Caenorhabditis elegans: one gene and its partners. The protein of the gene in region 4 purifies or fractionates together with the protein of the main gene of each other region. This does not show direct contact. Each region holds a gene or a part of one and is shown on either strand. Other genes may lie near its edges.

What was found.
Region 1: the proteins of ZC443.2 (region 4) and K01A2.5 fractionate together in Caenorhabditis elegans (co-fractionation; one large-scale study listed by BioGRID). This does not show direct contact.
Region 2: the proteins of ZC443.2 (region 4) and F13H8.11 fractionate together in Caenorhabditis elegans (co-fractionation; one large-scale study listed by BioGRID). This does not show direct contact.
Region 3: the proteins of ZC443.2 (region 4) and pph-5 fractionate together in Caenorhabditis elegans (co-fractionation; one large-scale study listed by BioGRID). This does not show direct contact.

What each region holds. Positions count from the first base shown.
Region 1 is NC_003280.10:298,243-305,348, reverse strand, and holds K01A2.5 (AB hydrolase-1 domain-containing protein), read right to left. Parts: upstream 2,945-7,106; 5' UTR 2,935-2,944; coding exon 2,653-2,934; intron 2,594-2,652; coding exon 2,440-2,593; intron 2,229-2,439; coding exon 2,117-2,228; intron 1,997-2,116; coding exon 1,747-1,996; 3' UTR 1,690-1,746; downstream 1-1,689. Other genes in the region: col-69 (Nematode cuticle collagen N-terminal domain-containing protein), read left to right, coding at 42-255, 542-1,165, 1,253-1,425; K01A2.6 (AMIN domain-containing protein), read right to left, coding at 4,582-4,683, 5,249-5,365; B0432.1 (Serpentine Receptor, class T), read right to left, coding at 5,614-5,784, 5,831-6,070, 6,117-6,266, 6,310-6,503.
Region 2 is NC_003280.10:6,255,239-6,263,830, forward strand, and holds F13H8.11 (Lipase_GDSL domain-containing protein), read right to left. Parts: upstream 4,784-8,592; 5' UTR 4,718-4,783; coding exon 4,582-4,717; intron 4,534-4,581; coding exon 4,300-4,533; intron 4,252-4,299; coding exon 4,019-4,251; intron 3,962-4,018; coding exon 3,801-3,961; intron 3,756-3,800; coding exon 3,265-3,755; intron 2,788-3,264; coding exon 2,660-2,787; 3' UTR 2,375-2,659; downstream 1-2,374. Other genes in the region: dbd-5 (uncharacterized protein), read right to left, coding at 1-336, 743-788; nmgp-1 (Neuronal Membrane GlycoProtein), read left to right, coding at 5,984-6,173, 6,221-6,285, 6,331-6,486, 6,667-6,833, 6,877-7,035, 7,116-7,206; F13H8.12 (MSP domain-containing protein), read left to right, coding at 7,310-7,342, 7,389-7,538, 7,584-7,700, 7,970-8,056.
Region 3 is NC_003283.11:19,187,223-19,195,588, reverse strand, and holds the start of pph-5 (Serine/threonine-protein phosphatase 5), read right to left. Parts: upstream 5,043-8,366; 5' UTR 5,035-5,042; coding exon 4,911-5,034; intron 4,853-4,910; coding exon 4,605-4,852; intron 3,974-4,604; coding exon 3,794-3,973; intron 3,125-3,793; coding exon 2,882-3,124; intron 2,053-2,881; coding exon 1,804-2,052; intron 355-1,803; coding exon 245-354; intron 1-244. Other genes in the region: Y39B6A.3 (Iron-sulfur cluster assembly 1 homolog, mitochondrial), read left to right, coding at 5,625-5,689, 5,738-5,825, 5,902-5,991, 6,097-6,249; hot-2 (Homolog of Odr-2 (Two)), read right to left, coding at 7,936-8,118.
Region 4 is NC_003283.11:12,807,077-12,814,134, forward strand, and holds ZC443.2 (uncharacterized protein), read right to left. Parts: upstream 4,117-7,058; 5' UTR 4,083-4,116; coding exon 3,783-4,082; intron 3,664-3,782; exon of another isoform or gene 3,537-3,663; coding exon 3,276-3,536; 3' UTR 3,136-3,275; downstream 1-3,135. Other genes in the region: ZC443.7 (Serpentine Receptor, class BC (Class B-like)), read left to right, coding at 45-403, 457-645, 1,142-1,201; ZC443.1 (NADP-dependent oxidoreductase domain-containing protein), read right to left, coding at 1,417-1,459, 1,507-1,679, 1,729-1,950, 2,064-2,513, 2,908-2,982; ZC443.3 (Glutamic acid-rich protein-like), read right to left, coding at 5,516-5,674, 5,801-6,424, 6,490-6,603, 6,718-7,044.

The DNA of each region.
Region 1 (7,106 bases), on a different chromosome or scaffold from region 4:
GACTTTTTATTTGCCTGCACCTGGACAAAAAAGTTTTCCAGTACTTCTCCGACGCCGCGTGGAATGAAATGACGTCACTGACAATTCGAAAAGCCAGAAGTCCATCAACGACAGGAAACTCTGGAAATGCCGGAAAACGATTCTGGGCAAAACGATCTTATGATAGTTATGCTCCGCAGCAAGTGAATTCGTATGCAAGAGTGAATAGTTATGCGACTGCACCCGTTTTACAGCATCCAACACAACAGCAATGCAGTTAGTTTTTTTTCTTCAAAAAATAACATCCATTTTGCGGGCGGAGCTTGGATTCTGTGAGAATTTTCGTTTAAAAAATGGGAAAGCTCGTTCAGCAAGATACATTTGTGAGCGGAGCCTAATATCCATTTTTTGGGCGGAGTTTGGTCACAATTTGACTATTTGAACATCTTGTATCTCTTTTTTTAGAAGAAAATTATAATTTTATAGAATTTTGCGAAAAACGGAAAAGATAAAAGGGCAAAAACTAAAAACGAGACTACAAACTACAAAATTCAATTTTCAGATTGTGCCCCACAAGCCAACAATTGTCCACCAGGACCACAAGGCCCCACTGGTTACCCTGGAGCTCCTGGAGAACCGGGCTCTCGGGGTCTCGATGGACGTCCAGGAGCCAATGGTGTAACCCTTATAGCTTACGATCAAGAGATTCCAGGTTGCATACAATGTCCCCAGGGTCCACAAGGTCCTCCTGGTGCCGTTGGGCCTTGTGGACCTTCTGGAATTCCCGGGCTCCCAGGGAATCCCGGATACACCTCTCCTCCAGGACTTCCTGGGCCACCGGGGCCTTGTGGTGAAGCTGGACGGGAAGGTCCCAATGGTACACCAGGCCTTAAGGGAGAGCCTGGAAATAACTCGATCCGTCAGATATCCCTACCAGGCCGTAAAGGCCCTCCAGGACTTCCTGGTCAATGCGGACCACCAGGGCCACCTGGATATACACCGCCTCCAGGACCACCAGGAACACCTGGAGTTCAGGGAGAAGCTGGACAGGATGGAGAACCAGGGGTACCTGGAGTTACTGGCTATCCAGGAGTTCGTGGGCCACCGGGGCAGGATGCTGAATATTGTCCGTGTCCACCAAAGAACGCAGGAGTCAATCGGAATAGTTATGTGCAGCCGGCACCAGGTAGGCTACTTTTTTCCATTAAGTAGGCGGGGCTGATATTACGGCCTAAAAAAACTCAAATTTCAAATTTCAACATATTTTTTACAGTGTCCACAAGCTACGCCACAGCATCCCAAAGCCGTTACGTGTCAGAGTACAATAAAGAGGATGAGTACAGGAAACGAGTGCTGGCTCGAGTGCTCAAGAAGCAGAGACGACTACTTTTGGCGACAAGAGCAAAGAATGTTCGCCGGAAGCCTGTTAGTCACGCTAGTCCGTAATTATTTTTATTTTTGTGAAATAAATTTGTATAAACTTTTTCACGGACGTTTCCAGAAAGTATACTGTCCCAAAAATTTTAATTGGGCTTCGCATGGGCCCCGCCCACAAGGCTCGGACAGAAACCCTTTGTGAACGGGAAGATTTTTTTTCTGGAAATTTTAGAATTTTTTCTGAAATTTTCTTTTGGCAAAATTCCTAATGAAATCAGTCATTTTGTGGGTGGAGCTTATGAGTGTAATAGCGAAATTGCTTGAGACCAGGACGAATTTTTTATAAACTTTATTCTTCACAAAATACAAAATACAAATTTCATATATTTATCATTTCTTCTCCGTGCTCTTCAAGAATTCCAGAACCTTTCCGGAAAACCATTTGGGATATTTCAAATAAAAATCGTGTCCTCCTTGTGCATGAATCTCAACTTTTGCCAAACTCTTGAGCACTGGGATGAAGCATACATTCGGGTCACCACAGAACCGGTCCAATCCACCATTCATCACTAGTGTCGGGCATTTGACTTGTGGAAGTACCAGGTCACACGGGAAACGGCCACCGCAGAACGAGTGAACTCTGAAAATTCGTTTGGTTAGGTAGGAAGCAGACGTAGGTCGCCTTGAAGGTAGTTGGCAGACATATTTGTGCCTACAGGAATATACACAACTTCGCATAAGCCCCGCCCACAAAACTCACTGATCTACGACGTCACAAAGTGCCGCCCATTGTGTCCGGAGTGTTTCCGGCGAATAATGGTCCAAATATGGTTGACGACCGGCTGCTAGCCAATGATTTGTTTCACGCATTCCTGAAATTCCAAAAATTAATTTATAAAGAGCACAAAACCAATAGATGGCCACACCCATAAAATGGACGTTCGATTTATTTTCCCATAAAAAATCTTGTAGGTAGGTAGGCATAAATTGCTGCTTCTATGTGGAAAAATGGGCCATATTGGTGTCAAATTAAGAAATTTCATTAAAAAACAGTAATCTTCCAAATATATCTAAATATCTCACCCTTGAAAGCCATGGCTCCTAGATGATTAACTTTTGTTGCACCAGCCATTACAATCATTCGATTCACTTTTTCCTTTCCTTTAGCTGCCACGTGGACCGTTGTTCTAGCACCTTCTGACCACCCCATCACGGTGAACGGCTCTAGTTTCAGGGTCTAAAATTTGGAGGCTTTTTGAAAACGTAAAAATTTTAATTTCAAAATTAAAAGCTCACCTCCATTAACCCTAGGCAATATTCACTATCCTTCATACATCTCTGAACTTCTTGTTTTCGCTCTGGAGGTCTTGAGGTACCGTAACCTGGAGGATCAATCCCAACAATTGTGACCTGATCTGGTGGGAAATGAGAGAGCAATTTGAGTGGCCAATCTTTTTTATAGCAGCCGACAGCACCGCAAATCGCGAGAATGTAGTTCGGACCGTGGCCGTATTTACAGTAACCGATTTGAGTGTCCTTGATGTGTTCCGAACTTTCGATATAGTCGCTTTGAGTCATTTTTCTTTTGCTGAAATTTATTTAGGTGTTTAATTTGTTAATTATGAGGTAGCGACGGTGAGGAAATTTTCCGGATAATATAAATGTTTGAGACACCTTTGTGACCTTTGAGACCGCACACCTTTGAAGTACATCTCCCCGATTTCTTCTATCCTAGAAAGAGACGTAACAAGGGTCAAGGTTCAAATGTATTGCTAAGAGAACGCCTCTTGTGGTGTGGTAGTACTACAGTATTTACAACCTACTAGTACAGTAGGTCGTATATATTGTTATTGTCGATGATTTACAACCACCGGATTGACCTAGAATTAACATAGGTATTTGAAATCGGTTTAGGCCAAATAATTATGGTTCCGCGACATTTATAGAATTCGGAATTTTCTGAAGAGCGAGAACATGTATTGTGAACCTCTACAATATTTAAATACAGAAATGTAGAGTACAAAACATTGTTTTTTGATCGACTTCCAGAATTATGATACGTGAAAACTGATAGTGAATATTAAATTATTCGAAAATCGGACACATGGAATTATTGATCTCAAAAATTCGGTGAAATAGGCTAAAGAGGAAGGAAAACCAAAGAGGAAATTTTAAAAGTGCATGTATTTGAATGACGAATAGTTCTACGAAAAAGATTTTGAAAGTCCGATAGGAATGAGAAATTTGTAGCCTACAGATTAAGATTTCAGAAGGAATTTGGACAAGACCGGATTAATTTTGTGCCTGTAAGCTGCGGAAAGTTCTAGAACCATCTGGAAAATACGAGAAAGTTTTGGAATGTTCTAAAACCTTCTGAAAAATTAGATAGAATTCCGGAATGTTCTAGAACTATCTGGAAAATACGAGAAAATTTTGGAAGGTTCTGGAACCTTCAGAATAATTCGAGAAAATTTTGGAAGATTCTAGAAAGGTAATAAAAATTATTAAAAAAAACATAACCACTAAAACACCGAAACATCTAGTTATTTGTAATATAAATGTGTAGTTTCTAATAAAAAGGAACTATGAAACAGTAAAGTAAACCTTTTGATTTATACTGGGAGAGTATGCAGATTTCAATCTAGGATATGAGGGTAAATAGGGAATAACAGGTGAAAGTGTACAAACGCAGTCGGAGGAAGATGTTGTTAAGATGAAAGAAGAAGGAGAAGAACACAGGCACTTGGACACACAGAGGGAAATAAATGGGAAATGAAAGGGAAAAGGGATATGGAAGAGACAGAAAATTGTTCCTATTGTCTGAAGGTATTGTATAAAACCGCAAAGAGGAAATTGATGATCGAATCATGTGATTTTGCGGGGAGTGCTGAAAGCATTTTTTTCAGATTTGTCAAGCTTGGGTCTTTGATCTTTTAGGACAACACAGTTTTACACATCTGGAACAATGCGGCTTCACCCATGTTGTCGAACACAAATAAATTTTTATGAACCAAATTTAATCAATAAAACTTGAAAATTACAATATTAGAGAAAAACTTGAAGACGATTTTCTCATTTTCCAGTATTCCCTTGTTTCCGTGTCAATGTCCAAGACTCCACTTCCACTGGATCTCCAAGCGGCTCCCATTGATCCGTGAGCTGTCCTTGTCGATCTCTGAATACTCTAGCTCGTCTTAGGATTCTTCTATATACTGTCGCAGGGTACTATGTGTCGCAGTGTTCATTGGGGTCCTGCCGGTTGACAACTTGCACAGGGACTCTATCAAAGTTTTGATCATGAAATACAGGTAGTTGTTGCGCTGTTCCCTGGAAGATTGGATTGATTGAACAATTTTTTTAGCATCACCTTTTTAAAATATCAGTTTTTAACTGGTCGGTTAAAAAATCCATATATGCCTGCCACCCGATATCATCATTTTAGGTGACTAGCGGGCCTATGGGCCCGCCAGCCCTTCGGGAATGGGGATAGGGTTAATTCGCTCTAAGTTATTAGCAAGGTAGCTGGCGCAGGTTCTCGGCTTTGCCTCGAACCTGTTAACGGGTTATTCGAGATCTCTTTGAAATTATTTCAGGAGTGGGGTATATGTTTAGAAAACTTGACTATTCAGGTTTGAGGCTTCGCCTCGAAGCTCTTACTGTGTAAATTGAAATCTCTTTAAACTTTGATTCATTGCTCCAGGACCGACACTGTACGAATAACTTAGGCTGAGATTTTGTTCAAGAATAATTAGAATGTATTCAATAAAATAAGTGAACAAAAATTAGGAACAGAACCGTTTTGAATGTCATGATGTATAGGTTCCTTAAGAATAAAATATAATTGTTTCAAACTGACGGGTTAATAATGTTTTAATTCCCTTAATCCACTTACCAGATCGACTTCAAGAATCCTCCTGGAAACAATTCTCGACTCTCCGGACAAAATCACAGTTGGTACATTTTGACAAAAAGCATAGGAAATAAGTAAAACGATTCCCAGAAGAATCATAGCAGCGAAACTGAATGAGGAACTTGTTGTCAAACGATAATAAGCTTATCAGTTCGTAGACTAATGATAAGACTAACATGCTAACTGGTAGGCAGTTGCAAAACATCTAGAGGTGCTTTCCATTTGCTTGCAGGAATCGTCATTCTTGGTTTTTGGATTGTATGCTTTATTATTATTAATGTTGTAACTTAAATAAATAAACGATCAAATAAATAGAATTTCACAGAAATTATAACATCAAAATCCTTTCAATACTTTGCGGACACATTGAGCACCGGGATGGTGTTAGAGGTGCCGTTTCGAATGGAAATTTCCATTACTTGGCACATGAAATTCGAGAGATCACGGCGGACACGTGGTGTGAAGAGGAAGATGAAGATTGCATTGGAGACGGTTAGCATGTAGAAGACGACGAAGAACTGGAAAAAAAAGTTTGTAAGGGGGCTGCGAGCAGACTTAGGTTACCCATTCATGCATGAATATGATGATTCCCCAGGTGATAGTGAATGCCTCGAAGAGCTCGTACATAAGCATCCAGAATTGGAAAAAGGAGTGGATGATGATGAAGTAGAGCAGGGTATGATCATTTTTGTGGTATCGCTCATTTCTTGGAAACTCTCGGATTCGGAAACTTGTCATGAAAATGTAGACGTAGGTGATAGTTAGGAAAATTATAAGCCAGGCAATGATGATATATCTTTGGATCTGGAAACTCCACACATTTTTAGAAAAAAAATCTTGCAACACTTACAATTCCCATGTAAGCAGGTTCAGTTGAATATTTCCATGCACTTCCATCCCAACTCCAAACTCTGTGGCAAACCATTGAGGGGATTGAGCAGACTGCAGCTCCAACAGTGGACAATGACAAGATTAATTTAATGTTTCTTTTGGAGAATGACTGAAAGTTTTGAAATTGTATGAACTTCAGATCTTCAACATACGTTATGGAACGTGATGAAGGTTGCAAAGTATCTATTGACTGCCATAATAGCACCACCAGCGATGTTCAGTAGGTAGAGGACACAGGTTCCGATGCTTGCCATACGAGTCACATAACCGAGAATGTCCCCATGGATGACATACTTTTGAAATGTCATCCAGAAGAGACAGATGCAGTGGAGAACATCGGCGATTCCTGGAAGGGATTTGAAATTTTAGATAAAGATTTAAGATCGGTAATTTAATCATATTGATAATCTGTGAGCCAGTTGAAAGCGTTTCCTTTTTTATAAAAAATGTTCAAAACAACTAAACGACACACATTTGTCGTATCTGCCTGACTTTTACAAGATTCTGGATCCAAATTTAGCATCATCTGATACGAATGATTCCGTAATTTCACACATTCATTAAACATTATTTAGAAATTCAGGTATCAGACTTTGTATGCCGATGATCAAATGACTTTCATAGAATCCCAAAAACTTCATTCCTTTTCTCCGGAGCCTCGGAAAAATCATGCATGACGTCATTGACTTTTGCAACACCTAACACAGATCACTATGTATCTTTGAAACATTATTTAAAAAGTCAGATATCACTTTGTATCCCGATGTTTCAGAAGATCAAGAAAAGAGAGTGACTGCCGGAAATACCTCCTGCTTCTGACACGAATCTCCTATTTTTTATAAAGTAAAATGTAATTTTGTAGGTTTATTCATCTTTAATGTCACTTGACTGATCACCACTTCCCTACAGAAAACTACCTGAAGAAACTCAACTCTACAGGGACCCCATT
Region 2 (8,592 bases), on a different chromosome or scaffold from region 4:
TAACAACAGTTTGTGAGTAGATTGGTGGTGGAGCTGGTTGTGGTTGCTGCTGATATTGAAGTGGTTGCTGTGGTTGCTGTTGTTGGTACTGTACAGGCTGCTGCTGTTGCTGTGGTTGGAAATATTGTGGTTGCTGAGGCTGTTGCTGAGCTTGGAATTGTGGTTGGTACTGTTGTTGAGCTAGGAATTGCTGATAATTTTGTTGTTGTTGCTGGAATTGTGGTTGCTGCTGGAACTGCTGTGGTTGTTGAAACTGTTGCTGTTGGAATTGCGGGAATCCGTTGAAATTATTAAATTGTTGATGTTGTTCTGGCCATTGATAGTATTGACAGTGAGCTGAAATTAAATTTTAAAAAACGTTTTTTTTAAGTTTCAAACTGAATATTTTCTTGACAATTATGATGGTAATGTTTTTGGGAAATATGCTACCGTATTTAACTATGAGTCTTGCACCATGTGGCAGCTATATCAGAATTTTTTAAATCTGTCAACTGACATAAATTCATTATCTGTTATTCTAGTTTCATTCTAGAAAGATTACGGATATTTTCAAGTCTAACGGAAAAAAAACTTTCAAGTTTGAGTGATGGGGTGCGGAACAGAAAGACAATATATAATTTTCAAATTTTGAAAATGGTAGTGGTACTAGAAATGCAATATATTCGTGTTTTCAGTGGATAACTGAAACTATGGGTTGAAACTAAACTTTCTACATTAACCTATAATAGAACTTAGAGCTCACCGTTGGCTGCCAATATGGCAACAGTTGCCACAAATCGGTAGATCATAATAATGGTAGATAGAGAGAAAATGGAAAGGTAAGAAGGTATAGACTAGCAAGACCGGATCTTAGTGGGCAGCCCAGCACTGCTAACTAAAGCCGAATGGGGCGTGGCCAAGACGTGGAGCGGGAGAAGCTGGTGAAGAAGATTTTGGAAGAGAGAAGGCGGAGGGAGAGGAACACTGGAAAAGGTCGACGGGCCTCTCTCTCTGTAACGGTGCGTGGGCAAAATGTGTAATTTCTAGTATAATCTAGGCGACACAGAGACTGGTGTGAAGCTGCTTTGAAAGACAAGGGGAAAGATGCCGTGATTGTTAATTAAGAATATACTAGGTGTTGTACATCTTTATGGTCACACTTGCCAAGAACACTACTAGTTGATTGTGGTTTGGGAGTTTCGTTTCAATTTTCTTAATTTCAATTGAATTACAATGATGAAGAGTTTGATGGTCATGACCTTCGCAATTGTTTTGTTTGAAATAGTTTGAATAAACGGAATACATAGATGAAGCGGTTATTCCGGTGAGACATCTTTCACTTTCAAGGCGCTAACCTTTTTGATTGGCAATTGCATATCCCATCACAAACAATTACATGCCTTCCTCTTTCATTTTCTCTCTCGAGTCATGACACCCTGACGACACAACGTGACGAAACGGCGCGACACCGCTAAACCCGTCTCCAGAAGATGAAGAAAAAGCTGAGAGGATATGAAGATGAAGCATTGCGCAATCGACGAGGGCACGACGCCACAGATGTTTTGGCCGCCCGCCGCCGCCGCCACAGGAAAGGAAAAGCCTTTTGAAAAAGGACGAAGCAAAAAAGAAAAGCAAAAGATAAATAAAAAAACGAGTTCCTTTAGTAGATAAATTGGATATATAGAATGGACCGACTGTGGCTGACATTGTCTTTTTAGATGAACATACAAGTCCACAACAATGGATCTTGTAATTTCTAGAAAAACTGAAAAGCTGCGTAGACTTTTCGGTATTGAATGAAAAATTAATAATTGGTCTGAAATCTCGACAATTCGCCGCAACTTCTCAATCAACTCTAGCAAACCTAGAAATCTATGCATAGCCTGAGGATTGAATATTTGGAGTTCCAGAAAAACAATCTCATACTATTTGGAAAAATGATCTGTAAAGATTTAAAAAAATAAAATCTAACAATACCGAATTCAGCAAAAAATGTACTGAAACAGTTTCTGATGGAAATTTCAGGGGCTCAGATTTGATTTCTTCGGAAAATTTCACTAAAGTTGATGGAAACATGAGGAAAACTAAGAGAATATCTGACTATATATGATCGGACTCATTATTCTAAATGTGTGTCACCTAATAAGAACATTTTATGATCGAGTATCCTAACTTCTTAAAGCCATTTTGAACTTTAGATGACGTAATAATAAATCTCTGGTTCTCATGTCCATCGGATCTTTTTACCTCAATTTATCTTATCACCTCTGTCCACTATGATTGATTCTGAAAGAAACTCGGTTACGTAATCACAATCGGGTTTCCTTCTCCTCTTCATTCTCTCAATTTCGATTCTGTCTCTTTCTGAATGAATCGCTTTTTGGAGATATATATGTACATACAGACACACTTCCATTTATTTCCTCTTTGCCATTTCATTATGATACTACACTAGGGACTGATATGTAGTCTACACAAAACAATAAATACAGTAGGCAACATTAATGGATGTAGTGAGATAGAATGCATTACGCCATTCGAAATAAAACCCGCATAGGTGTGACATCATTAGGAAGAGTAAGAAGGGTGCTGGTAGTTGTTATAAAAAGTGGAAATCTAGACGTTCTCATCGTTCACGCAACTGTCTCATCAAGTGGCATGAGTACATTTTAGAAACCATTTAGAAAATGTTGTCATTGAGGTCGGCACGCAGCGGAAGAAGTAGATGATGTCGTTCATCGGAAAACTCGGAAGACGTCGTAGAACTGCGGATGGAAGCACGAACAAATAGGAGTATTAGAGCGGTACCTAGGAACAAAATATTTTCGGTTTATATAAAAAGTTGAATAATGCTAAGACATATTTTTAGTCATAAGTGACAGAATATCTACCTGCCTACATCTATGCCTTTTTTCTTGAACTTTAGCTTGAACTCAGGTGTTAGATTTTTTCACCGTGCAGAGTATTTTTGATATATTTTTAAACCGTTTTTCTTATAGTATGTTTACATAATCTTCAAAAGTGAAAAAGTTCAAATTTGGTAGTACACAAGACGCAGGCGTAGGTGCCTTGAGGGCAGGCAATTAGCGTCTAGCGTTTTTGAGAAAATATGTTTATTGGTGCCCCTTTATTTTATATCTCTTATCTCTGAAAAAGCGAAAACGGAAACTTTCTCCCAATGAAAATATTTGAAAAGTGGTTTTATTGATTATTATAGCAGCTGCTTTTAATCTAAGCCGCCTCACAAAAAAATAAGCAACGTATTTTTTCCCAGACCAAACTCACCAAAAAGGAAAAATACAGGAATCATGTATGGAGGCATGCTTAAACCAGGAGAGCTTGCAAAAGCTGAAGGAACTCGGAGAAATCTCATTTCTCTTGATGGCTCACAGTTTTCAGAGTTTTGAATCGTTCTTAGGTACGGACATTCAACAGGAGGACACACGAATCTATCGAATCCAACTGATAATTGATTAGTGATTGTTTTTTGATCAATTGGTTCGAACAATCCTTTCCAAATTTGTTTCGCAGCAATATCATGAGCAATTGGAGAAAGATGGAAGCAATCGAGTGCCAATAGTCCAATATTCGGCTGGTTTTTAAGTAACGGAATTGATTTTAGATCCATGGCTGGAGCAATCACAACAGCAAATGTAGATGAATTTCCATATTTTTGATTGAATTGTTCTACAACTTCATTCAATTGTTCATCGAATTGTTTCTTGATGTTTTGATATTCTTTTTCATTTAATTCAAAAATACACGAGCATGTTTTTCTGTAATTATATGTTTAATTTTTTTTTTAATTTTGAAAAACAAACCTATGTGAAAACTCGCAGAACTTACTCAACTTGTGAGCTTGTGAGTGAATTTTGACATTTATTGGTGGCATTATGTTAACGAATACCTTTGGAACATTTGTTTGAATTATTGTAAGTGCCGAGTGAAGTGACTTTCCAAATGTTTCAGGCCCGAAGGTAGTCTGAAATATTTTTTAATGGAAATGAAAATTAGCTCCGATGTGAAATGGTTATTTTACCTCATTATTGCAAATGTTACACAAGTCATTATGACCGATGAAAATATTAACGAATTTCCATGTATCAGATGTTTCTCTACCCAGCTTTTTCTTCAATGTACTTGCTAATTTGAGCGCTTGTTCGGGAAGCTCCGAGCTGAATGAGCCAGGAATCGCCATGTTAAAGTCGTAAAACTTTTGAACAAAATCAGAGGATCCTCCTTTTATTCGCGGTGCAAATTTACGGAAAATATCTGAAAAGCTTCTGTTGCAAGTAAGTGAAAGTCAAAACGAATTATTACTAATAAAGGTGGCTTGCTCATTCAGCTTTACATCATCTCCTGTTACAAACGAAACACCAGGAAACTGATCAAATAAATCGAGAATTGACGATGATTTCGCCGCTTGTGCAACTGACACAGAATCGCCTAGTGCTGCTATCACTCCAATTTGTGATGGATGAAGCTGATGTACAGATTCGGAAGATTTTCGATGAGGTTGGGGACAATTGAAGTTTGGAAAGCCCATTGGGTACTCTGTAACACGGAACTTGAAGGGTTAGATGGAACGATTAATAAACTAACCCATTGAATCCATAAACGCATTTCTAGTTTCTTTCCACTGATTGAATACTTCCACAGATGTTTCGATAATTTCATTAGGAGGTGAAATAATAGAATTAACTTCCACAAACGCCAAAAAAAGGAAAAACCGTGCCATTTTCAAGAAGAACGCTGCAGAAAAATGAGGTAACATGTATGTTAAAGTTAAATCGTTTTTCAGAATGATAAGATAGTCTGTTTTCCAATTTACACCGTAGGACATAGATAAGAGGGCGAGCAAATTGGTAAAAAAGGGGACAAACAAGTTTGTGTAGTCTGTGTTTATATGTATTTCGTTTTTGCAAATTGTGAAGTAAACTGAGCACAAACACCAACTCATTTATTTAGCGCTCAAATTCTACTGCGAATAATATTTGATATTAGTACATAAGTCTCAATAAGCTTTTCTCAAACTCAAAAGGGCTTGCGAGAGGTGATGAAAACGAGGTCATCTACAGTTAATGCCACCTAAAAATGCTCAAAAAATCAATTGTGAAGACCGCGTTCAGGCTGTGTGATAGATAAACCCATGTCACCATATATGAAAAAGTTAAGAAGTTCTTTGAAAAAAAGAACTCCTGAATATAATTTTAACAAAATTTAACCATTTCTCAGAAAACAGTAACCTGTATATATTCATATTTCCACTTTCAAAAAAATTCTCAATGTATATCCGGTTGGCAGGTGCCGCTGAAAAGTGTTCAATGAAACGGCAGCAGACTCCTTTGTATTCTTCAACTCTTTTTCCCAGATGTTCATGATTGCAGCTCATCGTACATCACAATTGCATGCACATTCATTTTAAAATGTGTGTGTTTCCTACTGATTCAATAAATTGAAAATAACACCACAAGTCACCCAGAGGAAATGTAAAATTGCGTCATACATGAGTTGTTCCAACTTTCAAATGGCACCTTGCGACATTCTCATCGAAGATCATGCAAACATGACTCACCATCATCTTCTCCTCTTTCTGCTTTCCTCCGCTAAAACTGACCATCCGTGGCGAGCTGTCTGCGTCTCAATATTTAAATTTGTTCCCAACCCACTATCTCACCTTTCCGCGTCCGTTTCCAATTTCGATCGCAATACAAACAAACACACTCATACATACCTTTTTGTTGCCCCGGTGCCCGCTTGCACTTGCTTATTACAATTATTCCACGGCTACATTTGTTTCTTATTTTTCATCTGAAATAATATTTTTCAAACTGTCAAAATAGTGTCAAGATCAACGAAAGAGGCGGCGCAAAGACGTTCGCAGAACGCCGCCGTCGTTCATTTGAATGCGGACGCAGAAGAAGATGACTGTTTTCATCGAATACCATATGCATCACTTATTGGATCATTATTATGCATTCTTGGAGTTATTCTCTTTGCAATTATGATGTCCTGGGCATTTAATGCAACTGCAGAGCAAGTCAGAAGATCTCTGAAAATAAATGATTGGCCATGGCTTGACAAGGTTCAAGTTTTCTTTATTGTAATCGCAGTTTTAATGGGACTATTCTCACTTTTCTTCTTATGCATCGGATTTACTGCAACTGGAGGAACAAGAGAAACTATGTATAAAGGTTCAAAATGACAATGATCTAGGAGAACTTATGTACAATATTTTCAGACGATGAAGCTCGCTGTGGTGGAAAATTTGCATGCGTCATCGCAATGTTGATCGATTTCTTTCTAGTAAGAATTGCTCAGTAAACGTATAATTTTAAAACTAACTTTCAGATAATTGCATGGCTATTCATTATTTCAATTGTATCTTGGCTTTGTATATTTTATTATTTCTTCGATCGGCTCTGCATGAATCTTCCAGGATATACAGATGGTGACTGTATAGATCTTCATGTTTTCTGGCCATTAGTTTCGTCCTTTGCCAACTCGGTGAGTATTAAGTTTTAGGATTCTCAAAAGAAAGCAATTTAATAAGTTCCACATTTACATATGTAGGTTGAATTGGAGAAATGTTAAAATTTGGGATTTTTTTGAGTATTCTTCCTAAAGTTTATGAACAACAACTTTATCATTTTGAGAAAATTAAAGTCAACAAATGAATTATTTCAGAATCTTCGAATGTGCGGTGGAGATGTGCAACAATTCTGTGCACTTACCTCCACAGCATTCTCTTGGTATGTCATCGGATGGGTTGGATGTGTTCTCATCATTCTTGGAGTTCTTTTATTTTTTGGAATTCATGCATCAAATTATGCACATATTGGAAATGCTAACAGGTTTTTATTTTCATATTGGAAGGCCGTGAAAACAAAATTTTAGATACGTTGAACTTGGCCATCTTCGGATAGTTGAACATCGAGAACCAGGAGCAGATCGAAATTCTAAAAATGCAAATGGTCGGAAAGATGTACGATTGCCAGAAAAATATGAACTTCAATCAACACAATATAGTGATTCTCGTGCAAATTATTCAATGAGGTAAGCCAAGTTTTTTTAGGTATTGGTTTCAAATTGAAGAATAATTTTTTATTCATCTCACCTACTGCTTTATTTTTCAGAACCTCAACAAGCCGTCAAGCTGAGCACATGTCTGATTCTGTCAGTCAGTTCGATTATCGCAGGGATAAAAGATTAAAACCGGTTTACTAACTTTTAAAAATCTCACGTTCATAATTAGGATTTTGAATTTTTTAAAAATTATTCCACGACAACAATAAATGCTTTTTATTAATTCTTTTCAAAACCTATCATCATGACAACACTTTCGCAAGGTGATCAACAAATGGTATAAACAATTTATATTTTTCTTTCAATGTTTCGTTTTGTAACAGATAATATTCGAAGATGATACTCGCGATCAAACGATGTTTTTGGAAGTAGCAAATCGTTTTCAAAAACGAATGAAGTTTGGTTGGGAGACTAGTTTCGGACCATTGCTCAAAGTGAATCCGCCGGTTGGCATAATGGAGCCAGGAGAGACTGTATTTGAGTTTTATTCTGGTGAAAGTTATGAGCGTGTATTTCAGAAATCGTTTGAAATTCAATTTAATGGAGGTCATCTTCCAAATACGGATGTGATGGATGCAGATCACTCGGTGAAAATGTGGTTGACGCCGGCGGAAACTAGAAAGAGAAGCTTAGAGGTAAAAGGTTATTAGTTGGATTTTGACTTCTCAACAAGAGTATATTCGAGGACAAAACATTACGATTTAATTGAATTCTGCATTTGATCTACATTTTACGATAAGTGTTATGATGGACTGAAAATGAAAAATATGGGTACTTCTTTAAAATTAAAAAGTATCATTTAACACTATGTAAATCCACATCTATTAAAGTTAATTCGAGATTCAGATATATAGTCTACTCCTGAAATGAAAAAATAAACTTTTGAGGCCACTCTAATTTTCAGAACACAACAGTCCAAGTTCCGATCATTTTTGCTGTTCATGTGCAACCGAAGTGTGTTATGGAATTTGAGAACTGTACCAAAAACTGATTATAAGTCAATAAACTATTTCGATTCACTGTTAAAAGTGTGTTCAGTACAAAAGAAGAAACTCCCAAATGTTGGTTTTTTCACAGATCGTTGCAGGTTTTATGATATCAAAGTTGCGTAACGTTCAGAAAAACTTGGAGACTTGGTTCTGAAAAAAAACAAAACAAGTTTTTCATTCGTCATTTCAACGTTGTTACGTTTTCAAGAAAGTTGTTCACAAAATCCTTTCATCAAATCTGTTGCAAGATCCATTTTTCATTATGGACCATTGATTGTGGACCTCTGCTTGCTTTTGCTTCAATTTTTGGTCTTTCATGATTTCAAAGTATATTGTTCCATAAAATGTATATGGCAATTAATAAAATAACTAACGGGAGCAATTTTATGGATTTTATTCACAATGAAACACTCAATTCTCTGAAAACAGGAGAAACCCCATTTTTTCATTGTTCAAAATTCCTGAAAAAGTAAATAGTCAACCTCACAATTAAACTGAAAAAAATATCGTTGACTTCAAAGTATAAAAAAGTTTCAAC
Region 3 (8,366 bases), 6.4 Mb from region 4:
CATTTTTGCAAGTTTTTGGCTGACAATTGGAATTTTTATTGATTTTTCCATCTGGATATAAAATTTTCAGATTTTTCCAATTTTTCTCCCTGAAAAACCATATTTTTGAGCATTTTTTCTAGGAAATCATATAAGTTTTTCCTAGTTTTTGACTGAACATACGCATTTTCAGGTTTTTTTGAAGCAATTTTTCTGGTTTTTATCAAAAAATCCCGAATCTTCAGCCATTTTCCTACAAACCTACCAAAGTAGATCACACATGATACCCTCATCTGGTGGCTGACGATTTCTGTCAGTTTTTCGAATATCTTCCAGTGTTACACCGTCTTCTTTGAATAATCCACCATGGCACACCTGGAAAAATACCAAAAATTAGCAGCGCCCAGAAAATTAGCAGCGACCAAAAAATTAGCAGCGCCCAAAAAATTAGCAGCGACCAAAAAATTAGCAGCGACCAAAAAATTAGCAGCGACCAAAAAATTAGCAGCGACCAAATAATTAGCAGCGACCAAAAAATTAGCAGCGACCAAATAATTAGCAGCGACCAAAAAATTAGCAGCGCCCAAATAATTAGCAGCGACCAAATAATTAGCAGCGACCAAAAAATTAGCAGCGCCCAAAAAATTAGCAGCGACCAGAAAATTAGCAGCGACCAGAAAATTAGCAGCGCCCAAAAATTAGCAGCGCCCAAAAAATTAGCAGCGACCAGAAAATTAGCAGCGCCCAAAAATTAGCAGCGACCAAAAAATTAGCAGCGACCAAAAAATTAGCAGCGCCCAGAAAATTAGCAGCGACCAGAAAATTAGCAGCGCCCAAAAATTAGCAGCGCCCAAAAAATTAGCAGCGACCAGAAAATTAGCAGCGACCAAATAATTAGCAGCGACCAAAAAATTAGCAGCGCCCAAAAATTAGCAGCGCCCAGAAAATTAGCAGCAACCAAAAAATTAGCAGCGCCCAAAAATTAGCAGCGCCCAAAAAATTAGCAGCGACCAGAAAATTAGCAGCGACCAGAAAATTAGCAGCGCCCAAAAATTAGCAGCGCCCAAAAAATTAGCAGCGACCAGAAAATTAGCAGCGCCCAAAAATTAGCAGCGCCCAAAAAATTAGCAGCGACCAGAAAATTAGCAGCGACCAAATAATTAGCAGCGACCAAATAATTAGCAGCGACCAAAAAATTAGCAGCGCCCAAAAAATTAGCAGCGACCAAATAATTAGCAGCGACCAAAAAATTAGCAGCGCCCAAAAAATTAGCAGCGACCAAATAATTAGCAGCGACCAAAAAATTAGCAGCGCCCAAAAAATTAGCAGCGCCCAGAAAATTAGCAGCGCCCAAAAATTTAGCAGCGCCCAAAAATTTAGCAGCGACCAAAAAAATTAGCAGCGCCCAGAAAATTAGCAGCGACCAGAAAATTAGCAGCGACCAGAAAATTAGCAGCGACCAAAAAAATTAGCAGCGCCCAGAAAATTAGCAGCGACCAAATAATTAGCAGCGACCAAAAAATTAGCAGCGACCAAATAATTAGCAGCGCCCAAAAAATTAGCAGCGACCAAATAATTAGCAGTGACCAAAAAATTAGCAGCGACCAAATAATTAGCAGCGACCAAAAAATTAGCAGCGACCAAATAATTAGCAGCGCCCAAAAAATTAGCAGCGACCAAATAATTAGCAGTGACCAAAAAATTAGCAGCGTCCAGAAAATTAGCAGCGCCCAGAAATGAAAAATCCAGGATTTCAGCGATTTCTGGGCCATTTTCCTCAAATTTTCCAGATTTCCAGGCCATTTTTCACGTGAAGAAACTCACAAAAATCTTCTCATTAATCAAATGGCACAATGGTAACCAGCAGAACGTCTCCGTAAACATATCACACATTTGTTGAGTATATTTCGCCTTAACTTCACCCTCAAATCCGTACATTTTATTCATGACGTCAGATTCGTGATTTCCACGTGACATAAAGAAATGATTTGGGTATAGAAGTTTGAAGCCAATCATTGTGAAAATTGTTTCAACGGAAAATGAGCCACGATCCACGAAATCACCGTTGAAAAGCTGAAAATTTGGCCATTTTTTGAGCATTTTTCACATATTTTAAGTGAAAATTTGGCCATTTTCGGGGGTTTTTGGGGTGAAAATTAGGTGTTTTCGTGATTTTTAGAGTCAAAATTTGGTAATTTTTGTGGTATTTCTGCAATTTCAGCAAAAAATTGAAATTTTTTCAAGTTTTTTGATGAAAAATTGCCAATTTTTGGTGAAAATCAGGATTTTTTAAAATGAATTTTAGCCAAAATTTCGAGCATTAAAAAAGAGCATTTTTCAGCTTTTTAGTGAAAAAAAAATATTTTGCATTGATTTTTAAGTCAAAATTTCGAAATTTTGATGGTTTTTTGTAGAAAATTCGACTTTTTCAAGATTTTTGACAAAATTTTGGCTTTCAGGCGGTTTTTAGTAAAAAAATCGAGCATTTTTCATAAATTTAAAGTCAAAAATTGGCAATTTTTTTGCTTTTTGCTAAAAATTCGGAATTTTTCAATGACTTCTGCCAAAACTTTGAAAAAAAAAATCATTTCAGGGTTTTTATCTGAAAATCCGCATTTTTGGTGAAAATTCCTCAATTTTCAGCTGTTTTGGTTTTAATGTTTGAAATTTTTTCACGAATTTCAATCAAAATGTCGATTTATTGAGCTTATTTCAATAATTTCTGCAAAAAAATTCAATTTTTAGAGGTTTTTCACTAGAAAACATGATTATATCACAAAATTTGCCTATTTTCATGATTTTCGGTCAAAAATTGGAAATTTTTATGAATTTTAGCTCAAAATTCCTCAATTTTCCCGGATTTTCAGTCAAAATCTCTCATTTTTCAGCGCTTTCCCCGTACATATGGATTAGTCTCCGATGGATATCCATTAATCTCGAAAATATTGCACAAATCGTAGAATTGTCCGTGAACATCACCGCAAATCGTGAATTTCTTGCCAGTTGGCACCGTAATTTCAACCATTGTTGGCAGTGATTTGACATAATTATAAAACTCGAGGAGCATCTTGAACGCGTACTTTTTGTGCAATTTTTGCTGATTTTTGAACGTTTTGATGAGTTGCAACACGAATTCCTTGGTTATCTGAAAAGGATTTTGATCATTTTTGCGGTTTTTTACGGAAAAAACGGGAAAAAACTCAATTTTTCGCTTTTTTTTAACGAAAAATTCACTTTTTTTCTGTATTTTTTGCGGAAAATCGATTTTTAGACTAAATTTCTATGAAAAAAAAATGATTTTCAGGCGAATTTTTCGTGAAAAATTGACTTTTGGACTAAATTTCTATGAAAAATAGATTTTTGGACCAATTTTTTAATGAAAATTCCAGAAAATCCAAAAAAGATTGGAAATTTGCACGTTTTCTGACCGGAAATGCTAGTTTTTTTTTGTGAAAAATCGATTTTTGGGTTAAAATTGCAGTGAAAAATAGATTTTCAAATTAATTTTTATGAAAAATAGTTTCAGGACCACTTTTCCCTTGAAAAATCGATTTTTTGGACTAATTTTCGCAAAAAAATTCGAATTTCTGGCCTATTACCCTTGAAAAACGTATTTTTAGATCGATTTTCACAAAAATTTATGTTTTTGGACCGTTTTTTAGATCAAATTTCTATGAAAAATTGATTTTTACATCAGTTTTCCACCGAAAATCGCAATTTCCGCTCTGAAAATTGAATTTCGGGGTCAAAATTGCCGGTTTTACATCAATTTTCCGTCTAAAAATCGATTTTCACAGCCATTTTCCACCCGTACTTTATCTTCCAGCCGTGGACCATCATACGAATCCTCAATAGCCATTGCATTAATATCAAGAGTCTCGGCGACGGTTTTCTTGTCGTGATCCGTCGAAATTGCGGCTTCAAACTTCTGTCGGCGGACGATTTTCGAGCATTCGTCGAATTTTGCGCGAGCGTCTTTGTCGTTGGGGCAAACCTGCAAAAAAATGGAAATTTTTTCGGGGAAAAATACGGGAATTTTTGAAATTATACTAAATTTGAGAGAAAAATTATCAAAAATCACGTTTTTCTCATAAAAATTGGTTTTTTTTTTCATAAATATCGATTTCTTTTCAATTTTTTCGGCCGAAAGCTGTCAGCAGCGCCCAAAATTGAATTAGCAGCGCCCAAAACTTGTAGTTTGTAGTTTAAGCAGCGCCCAAAATTAAATTAGCAGCGCCCAAAATATTGTAGTTTGTAGTCTAACAGCGCCCAAAATTGAATTAGCAGCGCCCAAAACTTGTAGTTTGTAGTCTAAGCAGCGCCCAAAATTGAATTAGCAGCGCCCAAAATCTTGTAGTTTGTAGTCTAAGCAGCGCCCAAAATATTGTAGTTTGTAGTCTAAGCAGCGCCCAAAATTGAATTAGCAGCGCCCAAAATCTTGTAGTTTGTAGTCTTAGCAGCGCCCAAAATTGAAAAAGCAAAATTTCAAATTTTTCGCGTTTTCCGACTTTCTGGAGGTGAAAATTGATATATTTTTTCGAAATTTTCTCTTAAACCGGGTGAAAAATAGTTTCTAAACCGCCGTTTTTTCCGCTCTTCAACACCCAAAAAAAGTGAATTTTCACCTTAACAACCGCCTGATAATCGGTCAACGCCTTTTTAAACCGCCCCAGAGCCATATTGGCGGTAGCTCTTCTATAGAATCCCTTCACATATGACGGATCAATTGCAATCGCGTTGTCCGCATCCTCAAGAGCACTTCCGTAGAGCTCTTTCTTCAGATAGGCCTGTGCACGGTTTCCGTAAAGAACCGCCGTCGGATGAATCTCAATTGCGACAGAGTAGAGGTCGGCGGCCACGTCGTACACTTGATCTGCAGCAGGAAAATACTTTAAAATTCATCAAAAAATCGGTTTTTTTCCAAAAAATACCCTTAAAAAACTGATTAGCTTCATCTTTAATCATTCCAGCCTTCTCCTTCTCATCTTCGTACGACTTTTCCTCAATTGACTCCAAAACTGTCGCCACAATGTCATCTGTTATAGTGGCAGCCATTTCGGAGCCTGAAAATTTAGATTTTATTTTTTTTTTTCTTTTTTTTCTCTTTTTTTTTAGCGAAAAAAACCGAATTTCGGAGCGGTTTCCCTAAAATTTAACCGTGTTTTTCGAAATGTTGAGCCTGAAATTCACAAAAAACACAAAAAATGCAAGAAAATCGATAGAAAATGAAGAATTTTGGGACAATTTCCGGTTGGACGGGGTTTTTTTTTTTTGCACAATTGCTCTTGTGTGTGGATTTACGGTAAACAACACGCGGTGGGAGGTGAGCGGAGTGTCGTTGTGTTTGGGTTTTTATTGGATTTTAAGGGTTTTTCGATGATTTCAAAGGTTTTTTACAGGGGAAAAATAAATAATAGCATGAAAACGTTGATTTTTTCATATTTTCGTAAAAAATTTACAGAAAAAAAGCTTAAAAATCGCTTGATTTCGGCAATTTTGACAAAAAATTTCTTGTTTGGATTTACGGTAAACTACACGCGTGGCCGGGATTTCGGAGCAACGTTGTCACTTTTTTTTTTTTTTTCATTTTATTTCTGGAATTTTCGCTATTTTACTCATTTTTCGACTAAATTTTCAATTTTCCGATGTCAAAATTCGGTGGAGCAACTGCAAAAGTCATAAAAGGCGCGCTAAAAGTCCGACAAACGAGGTAATTCTGAATTTTCCCGGAAATCTGCCAATTTTCACCCCGAAAAAGTTTCAGAGCGGCTCTCACACTTACCAACGAAGCCGTCAGCAGAATACGCGTGTTATTGGCTCAACAGAATGATGCAAATGCGTTGAAAGTTCGTTTTTTCCGTCGATTTTTCGATTTTTCGATTTTTGCGCCGCCGGAAATGATGAAATTTTTAATTTTTTCAGATCGGAGTTCGACAAAAAGGCTGTAATGGGTTAACATATACACTGGAATATGCAAAGGATAAGCAGAAATTTGACGAGGAAGTTGAGCAGGTAGAAATTGCCTCAAAATCTGGATTTTTAGCTCAAATTTATCACAAAAAACCCGGATTTTCACTAATTTCGATGAAAAATCCCCCAATTTTTCCCATTTTCCAGGACGGAATCAAAGTGTGGATCGAACCAAAAGCTCAGCTCTCGCTACTCGGCTCAGAAATGGATTACGTCACCGATAAGCTATCGTCGGAATTCGTTTTCCGAAATCCTAATATTAAAGGAACGTGTGGATGCGGAGAATCTTTTAGTATTTGATTTGATGATGATTTGCTACGCTATTTACCATAATTTAGTAGTGATTTCCACGTGTACATTCTAGAAAAAATGCTAATAAATTTGAATATAGTGCAGAAAATTTGGCAATTTTCAGGTGAAAAACATATGAAGTTTGCATGATTAACTTGTTTGGAGAAAAATACAAAAGATACAAAAAAATTCGACCACGCTGGGGGCTCGAACCCCGGAGGTGTGATTGGTAGTCGGCGAAAATCCCACTGCGCCACTTGGACACATTTTTTTGAAAATTCAGAAAAACGATGGAAATTATAAGAAATCACGGTTTTAAGTTAAATTTTAAATTTTTATATGTGAAAAACTCACAAATTTTAGATTTTAAAAAAAATTAAAGTTTAAAATTCAATTTTCACCATGTTCTCGTAGTTTTTGTGTTCTAAAACTTGAAAATTCGGATTCCGCATGGTGGAATTATCCGAAAACCATTTAAAAATCAAAATAAAAATTTTTTACCACAGCGGGGACTCGAACCCCGGAGGTATGATTGGTAGTCGGCGAAAATCCCACTGCACCACTTGGACACAATTTTCGAAAATTCAGAAAAACGATGGAAATTATAAGAAATCACGGTTTTAAGTTAAATTTTAATTTTTTATATGTGAAAAACTCACAAATTTTAGATTTTTAAAAAAATTAAAGTTTAAAATTCAATTTTCATAATGTTCTCGTAGTTTTTGTGTTCTAAAACTTGAAAATTCGGATTCCGCATGGTGGAATTATCCGAAAACCGTTTAAAAATCACAATAAAAAAATTGTGCCACAGTGCGGTCTCGAACCCCGGTCTTGTGATTGGTAGTCGGCGAAAATCCCACTGCGCCACTTGGACAAAATTTTCGAAAATTCAGAAAAACGATGAAAATTATAAGAAATCACGGTTTTAAGTTAAATTTTAAGTTTTTATATGTAAAAAGCTCTAGTTTTAGACTTTTTTAAAATTGAAATTTTGAAACTTAATTTTCACCATTTTCTTGTAGTTTTTGGTTTTCTAACACTTAAAAATTTGGACTCTACGTAGTTGAATTGTCAAAAAACGTTAAAAAACCACTACAAAAATTTTTGACCTCAGCGCGGCCTCGAACCCCGGTCTTGTGATTGGTAGTCGGCGAAAATCCCACTGAGCCACTTGTACCGAACTTTTCAAAAATTCAGAAAAATGATGAAAATTATAAGAAATCACGGTTTTAAGTTAAATTTTAAGTTTTTATATGCGAAAAACTCACAAATTTTTAGATTTTTCATAAATTAAAGTTTTAAAACTCAATTTTCACCTTTTTCTCGTAGTTTTAGTTTGTTCGGCGAAAATCCCACTGAGCCATTTGGACAAAATCTTTGAATTTTTTTGTTTTTTTGTTTTTTTTTAAATAAAACAATTTTCAGAAAAAAGAACGTAAAAATTTATTCACTTTTTGCAATAAAACTTACAGTTAGAATAGCAAAAAAAAAAACCAATAATGTTTGGTGTTTCCAATATATATATATATTTATATAAAAACCCGTAATACATATATCCAACATAAAAATGGGCATCTAGAGAAACGGAGATCATATTTCAAAAAAAAAATCCAAAGAAAGACATGTAAAAATCAATAAATTCAAAAAAAAATTGCAATTTTTTTCACAAAAAAAAAATTTTTTAGAAAATCTTTTTCAATACAATAACCGATGTAGAAAAACTAATAAAAAGACGATAAATATTGATGATGACGTCATTATTGTAGAATTACACCGGTCACCGTAACACGAGCACAGTTGAACATCGCCGAGTGCCGGGGGGTCAGTCTGCCGGGCTGGGTTGAAGAGGGCTGAGCGGGAAAGCGTTCGGCAGTGGTTCTGGAATGTTTTATTAAGAATCACAATAAAAATAAAAATTATTGACCGCAGTGGGACTCGAACTTTGGACCTGTGCGTGGTAAACGCGCCTCTAACATACTGCGCCACTGGGACTCATTTTTAAAACTGTCTAAAAATTGTCGGGACTACAAATATTTTAAGCTTTTAAGCTTTTAGGCTTTAAAAATGTTTTTTAACTCAAAATAAGCCTATTTTGAGGCCTAGAAAATCGATTTTTCAAAATGAGC
Region 4 (7,058 bases):
CTTTTCTAGATAATGAGTACGAAAAATTTTCAAGGTTTTTTTAGCATCTATGTATTACTTTCTCCTAATTGTGTCTCTCATCTGTGGAGCAGATCATCTTCTCGCAACTATTGAATACTGGCTTGGTCTTATTGTTTCAAGTTCAGCAACTATTCGAGTAGTTACATCATTTCTTATAGTTGTGGAAAGAACACTTTCCGTTTATTTTCCGATATATTTCAAGAACTACAGAATATTAATCCCAAAAATGCTGCTTCCACTATTAGCCTCATCATTTGCATTGATTGATAATTTCATTTTGTATGTAGTTTGTGATTATACTTTTATTCCAAATCTGTCTTGTGTAATCTTCACATCTCAGATTAACACTTGTTTCTTGAAATATTATTCAATGAACAAAACTGTAAGTTTTAAATATATGAAAAGTGAAATAATTTTGGCATATGAAAATTGTAGATCATGTACGGGTGTACTGGAGCTGTCTCAATTGCATTTTGCATGAAATTTTTTATATTTGACATGGTAAAAGTTCGTCACGAAAAGCTCTCGAGAGTTAACAAATTAGCATTGATTGATACAGTAATTGTACTTTTGTTTGATTTTTCATCATCTTTCATTGCATCCAGAACGATTTTTATATATGAGGTGGGTCGCATTAACTGAATCTTTTCAATTAAAAAAAACGTTCAAATTCGACACAATGATGGTTTGTGTCAGTGAGAGAAATGTTAAACACGACAGTCTTTTATTTTTGTATTCGATTATTTTGGATTATTAAAAATGCATTTATCAAAAGTCCGTTTAGAAACGAAATTTTTTTTAAAAATAAACCTTTTGAGAGTTTTACCTTGTGTCGGTAAGTAGGTACGCGTTTAAAACGTACAAGGTTTTTTTTTTAAATTTTGGCAAGTTTGAAACGTTTGCATGTTACACAAACTTACATATGATTTTTTTTAATGATTTTTGTATTTTAAGTTTTTCCCATAGTTTGAACCATCATACATCGAATCCACGCAAGTGCATTCGCACGTTAAAAAAAAATCGTATAATCAAACTAGAGTATCATAACTCTTTATACCGAAACGAACAAATTTGATATGTTATGAGAACATCCAAATTGAGAGCCATTTAAAAATTTCAGGAAATGGGACCATACGATGCTGCTCCAAAATGTTTGGCAGAGCGATTGAATCAATTGTAGTATCCATTCAATTGCACCGTGCAAAAGTTGTCCCGATGAAAAAAGTAGTTTGTATAAGACATACGAGCAGCATTCAAAATTATGGTAGCAGCACAATTCCTGTTTCCAATTAGTGCCTTATTTCCAAGGATAAAATATTTTGAACAGATCGAAAATTGTTTATTTTGGTTCAAAACAAAAGTAGAATTTGTATTTATATTTCTTTTGGACATTTGTTATCTCTGTGTCGCGAATGGATCTTCAGGATGATCAGCAACGCTGAAAAATAGTGTTCAGTATCATTTTTGTTGCTTAAAAAAAAATACTTTGGCCACCAGAAAAGTCTTTCCTGTTTTGTTCTCTCGTGCGCTTCTAGGAGATTTACTTCAGCATTTGAAATGTTGAAATCAAAAATGTTGATGTTTTCTTTCATTCTTTCAGGATTCGTAGTTTTTGGAATAACTATAATTCCCATTTCAACTGTAGCCCGGAGAAGAATCTGAAAATAATCCGGCACAAAATTGTAAACAGATTATTTGAAAATTTACCTGAGCTGGAGTTTTACTGTATTTCTGTGCGAGCGCCTTCACATGTTTGTCGTTCATTTCATTTTCAGAATTTTGAGTGCTTTCAAACAAAGGTCTACCATTTGAACCAACGACAGACATTCTTCCAGGAGAGCCTAACGTCGCATAGGCTGTTATGAGGATGTTGTGTTTTTTGCATAGCTCTCTGTGAGCTTTTTGAGGCAAATAGAGATGAAGCTCAAGCTGAAAAATTTGATGCAAATATATGAAGATTGTCAAAAAAATTTCATCAGAGTTATGTTGTTTTTGATATTTTTTAACTCATAGAAATTATAAAAAAACAGAAAGCAGGTCACCTGAGAAGCGTGAATAGGAACTTTTTGGATATTCATAATTCGGACAATCTGACTTTCATTGAAGTTTGAAACACCAATTGCTTTTGTCAATCCCAAACCATACACTTTCTCGAACCCTCTCCAAATATCTTCAACTTTTACATCAGAACGAAACGATCCATCGTCTTTGGTTGATGCGGGAATATGTGCAAGATACAAATCAACATAATCCAAACGAAGTCTTTTCAGTGAGTTTCTCAATGCTTCTTCTACAACATCAGGCGCAACTTCATGACAGAACGCTTTAGTTGTTATAAAAATATCTTCACGTTTTAAAATCCCTTCGGCAAACAATTCAGCTAAAGCGTCTCCAATTTGATGCTCATTTTGATAAAGAGTAGCTGTGTCGATGTGACGATATCCGGCAAGAACTGCATTTCGGATAACTGTTTTTCCTTCTTCTCCCGTCATCTATTAAGTAGAGAAAATGATGATTTTTAAAGAGTGACGCCAATTGTTTTTTAAGTTTCGAAAAATATCAAAATTTTGTAAACAACTGAACCAATACAACAAATTCTTGAGAAATTATAGAGTGGACTCTTTTCTTTGGCTCATACAGATTTTTGAGCGAAAAAATTATTTTCTAGTTTGCTTCTCTGCTTCTAAATATTTCCGATAAAACATTTTTTGTCTGAATTATTGAAATTTGTTGGGTACAGCTATCCGAAACTTTAATAAAATTCCTAAAAATTATATCAATGTACAAAAACTGGCAATTTCAAGTAACATTACAACCAAGTGTTGAATAAATCCTTGCTAATGGTAGTTAATTTATTCTAAACTTCAAACTAATTTTAAATGTTACCTGCCAGGTACCAAGACCAATACTTGGCATGAGAACTCCATTAGACAGAGTGAAGATTGGAACTTTTGATGACATTTCGAAGGAAAATAAAGTTTGTATAGTTGGGGGTACTTCATATTTATACACAAACCGCAATCCTAATTATCGAATTAAAACTGGAAGAAAGACCTTGAATTTGTGGTCTGTGTGTGTGTTTCTCTTAATATATAAAGAAAATAGTTTGCGCTGTTCCAATTTGTACTTCGTTTTATTGAAATTAACAACATGGACGAGGGGAATGATGAGGAAAAGATTATGTCAAATGGGTAGAAGTAGACGAATAATGACGACTTGGAAGAACACAAAATACATTTTTAAGTACCAGAAGTTTAGGTGACTTGTTCCATTTCCTTTCCATTTTTATTTCTAATTTCTCGGTCTTTTTCCATCTTCTCCAGTCGTGAATTGGTGTATTTGTAATATCCTTCCTTCCCTAAATACCACATCAAGCGATATTCATGCTTTTGATTCATTCTCTCTGCTTTCTTTTTTCTTTCCTCAAAAGTTCGTTCCAGTTTCTCAAGTCGTTTCTTCTTGTACATTCGGTATTTTTCAATAATATGGTCGTTGTGGTCGGCAAAGATGTGAATCTAAAAATTCGATTTTTTTTTCAATTGTAGAGAATTTGGTGTATGTTGTTTCCTAACAGGATTAAAAAGTTAATTTGATGTTTTTGTGAGTTCATTGTACATTTTAACAAAATAAACCTACATTTGATATATGCCAACCAAACTTTCAAAATTTTCAGACTGGAATTTAATTTCAAATTTAAGACAATAATGCCAAACGTGTTCAAGATTTTGACATCTTTATTTAAAACAATTCTAGAAACTCACCGCCCATTCTCCAGCTAAGCCGTCTCTTTTGAATTGAGCATTTTTTAGAAGATAGTCATCTAATGAGTTTTCCAATGCAAATGCCGATGAATAATGAAATCGGAAAGGTTTAATACATCCAATTGGGTGAAGAGAACGGAAGAAATGCTGAAGTTTTGAATAGTTACTATCATTCATTGCAGCATATCCAGGGAAATACTCATTGAATTCTTCAATCGCAGCGACATACTCAATTGACATCAATTTGTGCTCCGATTTTGGGAATGTATCTCTCCATAGTTTGATTACTTTTTCGAACATTTTGAAGATAAGCAGGTTAGTTAGGAAGTGTCCCTGGAAATATTATTATTGTTATTATTATGAAAGAGATGGATAAATGTAGTAAGTATGCAAAAAGTAAATGAAAAGCCAATCGTATGCAAAAGAATAAATGGACAAAAGCTGTAGAGAAGCAGACAAAATGAAAGAGAACGAGAAATAGGATGAGGAACACTACACACATACAAACAAGGAGGCAACGAGTGGACCACCTCAAGCATCTTGTGAGTTATAATTTGCACACACCCCCCGTACACTTCCCCGCTTGTTTTTGATTTGATTTTGTAAAGGATGCAGAAAAAGAATTGAACAAAACAACACGTCATGATGCTCTGCTAGAGTGCTTGGAGCAAATGATAAGAGAAATATTAGAAGCTTTTATTGAAATCAGGTGGTCAGTGGGTGAAGCGCATGGTTTTCCCACAACAATGTGACCTCGATTATGAATTACAAGACTTTATGAAAAATTCGTACTTTATGAAAAATCGTTTGGTAAAATCTTTACGACTTACTTCCGTACTGGATCATCCTAGTGGGTACCTTCATAATACGTACAGTAAGCCTTCCACAAGGACGCAACTTGCGAAAATATTTTAAAATTAAACTCAACAATACTATTTTTAGTTGAACTTAGTTAAAGCTAGAATATGCGAGATTTTAACAAAGTGTTTATCCTGAAATTTAGTGCTGGTCTTGCTCTATTATTTGTACCTTCTATTGGAAACTTGACACCGTGAACTCATGATTTTCTATATCAATTTTCACATTTTTCCACCTCTTCAAAACTTTCCCTCTTTCAAGCTTGAAGTCCCTCTTCGGTTTTCTACAATGCTAACGAGCTTCAGTATCACGCATTACCCATGCGCAAGAAAATGAGAACAGACAAGAAATTTCAATCAAGCCTATTATTATTTTTCTCACTTTTTTTTCCTGTCTACTCACTTTCTCTTGAAGGAAAAGCTTAAAGCAGTGGCACCCACTGCCATCACTACTACAAACCGGTCATTGTCAACAAATAACACAACAACGCATTTTTGTTTTGTTGACGCCATGATGCGCAAGCAGGCATCTAGAATTATTATGCAGTGGTGGGATGGTAATTGTGAAAAATCCGGATGTTTTTACATTTTATACAAAAATTCATATAAGGAGTTGAGGAAAAATGAATACTTGAAACATGAATACATATGAAACAATTAGAGAAGTTACATTTCTATGTACAAATAAGAATGTTAAAAACATTTAGTTACAGTTTGTTCAATTTAATAACTAAAGAAAAACAAACGGTTCTTTGGCATTATTGAACAATTTTGAAAATGAAAAAATTCGGAAGAATGTTAATGAGAAATTTGAAGCAAGAAACACGTTACAGAGTGCACAAGTACCCGTTGGCAGAAAAGCAAGATACTTGGCACCTATAGCATTTCATATTCTAGAGCATCAACGTCCTTGTCCTCGATTTTCTCCAACTCTTCAATGTCACTTCCATCGTCTGAATCCTGATCACATTTGTCGAATTCTTCATGACTATCGGAATCACTCGCATCGTCCACAATTTTCGATTGTGACGCAGCCTAAAAATAGTTTTGTTGAAACTTTACGAGTGAACAATTTGCTTCCCAACAATTAATTAGAAATAACGAGAGAACCATTTTATTTATTATTATTTTGCACAAATCAAACTTTAAGCTAGAACTTACTTTTGTGTTCTTCTTGTCATCCAAGTTCAGTTGCTCCATAACATCTTCTAAAAGAGATGCTGCAATTGTAACTTCATTCGTCTTTTCGGGAACATCTGATTTAAGGTTTTCAGATTTTTCAGTTTTATCCTTTTTCACAGTTACAGATTTAGCAACTTTGAATTTTGCTTCGTGTTTCTTTGTCACAGACATCATCGACTTTTCTGTACTACTTTTCGATTGATGCTTTTTTTGAATAAGATTAGCTTTTGCAGCAGATATGGCAAGTGAATCATCTTCTTTAACCGGCAATGAAATAATGACATTTTCAACTTGCACAGGCGCGGCTACAACAGTTTCTGGTTTGGTCAGTTCACAAACAACCGACACGTTTTTCTTTTCCAGCTCTTCAATCTTTTGGAGTGTTCGGTTTAATCTGATTTTGTTCAGAACAAGCTCACATTCCTCCAATTCTTTATTTTTCTCTTCAACTGGAATTTCATCGCTAGCCATCGATTCAACCACATCCTTTATATCTAATTTATCTTCTTCTAGACTGATTGTGGGAACGTCAAATGAAGTTCGGTTAGTATAAATGCAAGAGTCATCATTCCCAGAGTCTGGCAGTTGAGTGTGTCGTCTCACCTGAAAGTTTTGAGTTAAAAGTTAGTAGACACTGCCACATGTTCCACATTTTCACTTGCACTTACGTCCAGAGCCTTGAATCGCTGGTTTCTTCTCTTTAGTTCTTTTGCAGCTGACCTTGTTTTGTACCGACGGTACTTGCTCATAAATGTCGTATTGTGACCGGAAAGGATTTGAATCTGAAAAGGAAATATTTGTTTATTGCAAAGAACGAACCAAATATATTATTCCATTAGCTTCTTTTTTCTTATAACTCGTTTTGTCCCGTATATTTACCCCGATATGTCACTCACCGCCATATCCCCAGTGACATCCGGCTGTTTGCGAGTGGCAATCATCCGGTCAAAATGTCTCTCGAGTTTGAGAACATGGAAGAATGTATTCTTATCGGGAATCATTGAAAATCGATTGATATCCGCAGTAATGCTCATCATACAAAGGTCATTGTGTTTGCTCGGAGTGTACACTTTAATGTAGTTATAGAATTCATCAACTCTTTCCGGAGAGCCCACGTAGGCTTTTGTATATGCATTGTGAACAGTCTCACGGAAGGCCACAATTGGTTTCTTGACAGTTTTCTTAAGGGAACGAAGGTTTTCAACAACGCCCGATAATCCCATGTCTGAAAGTATTA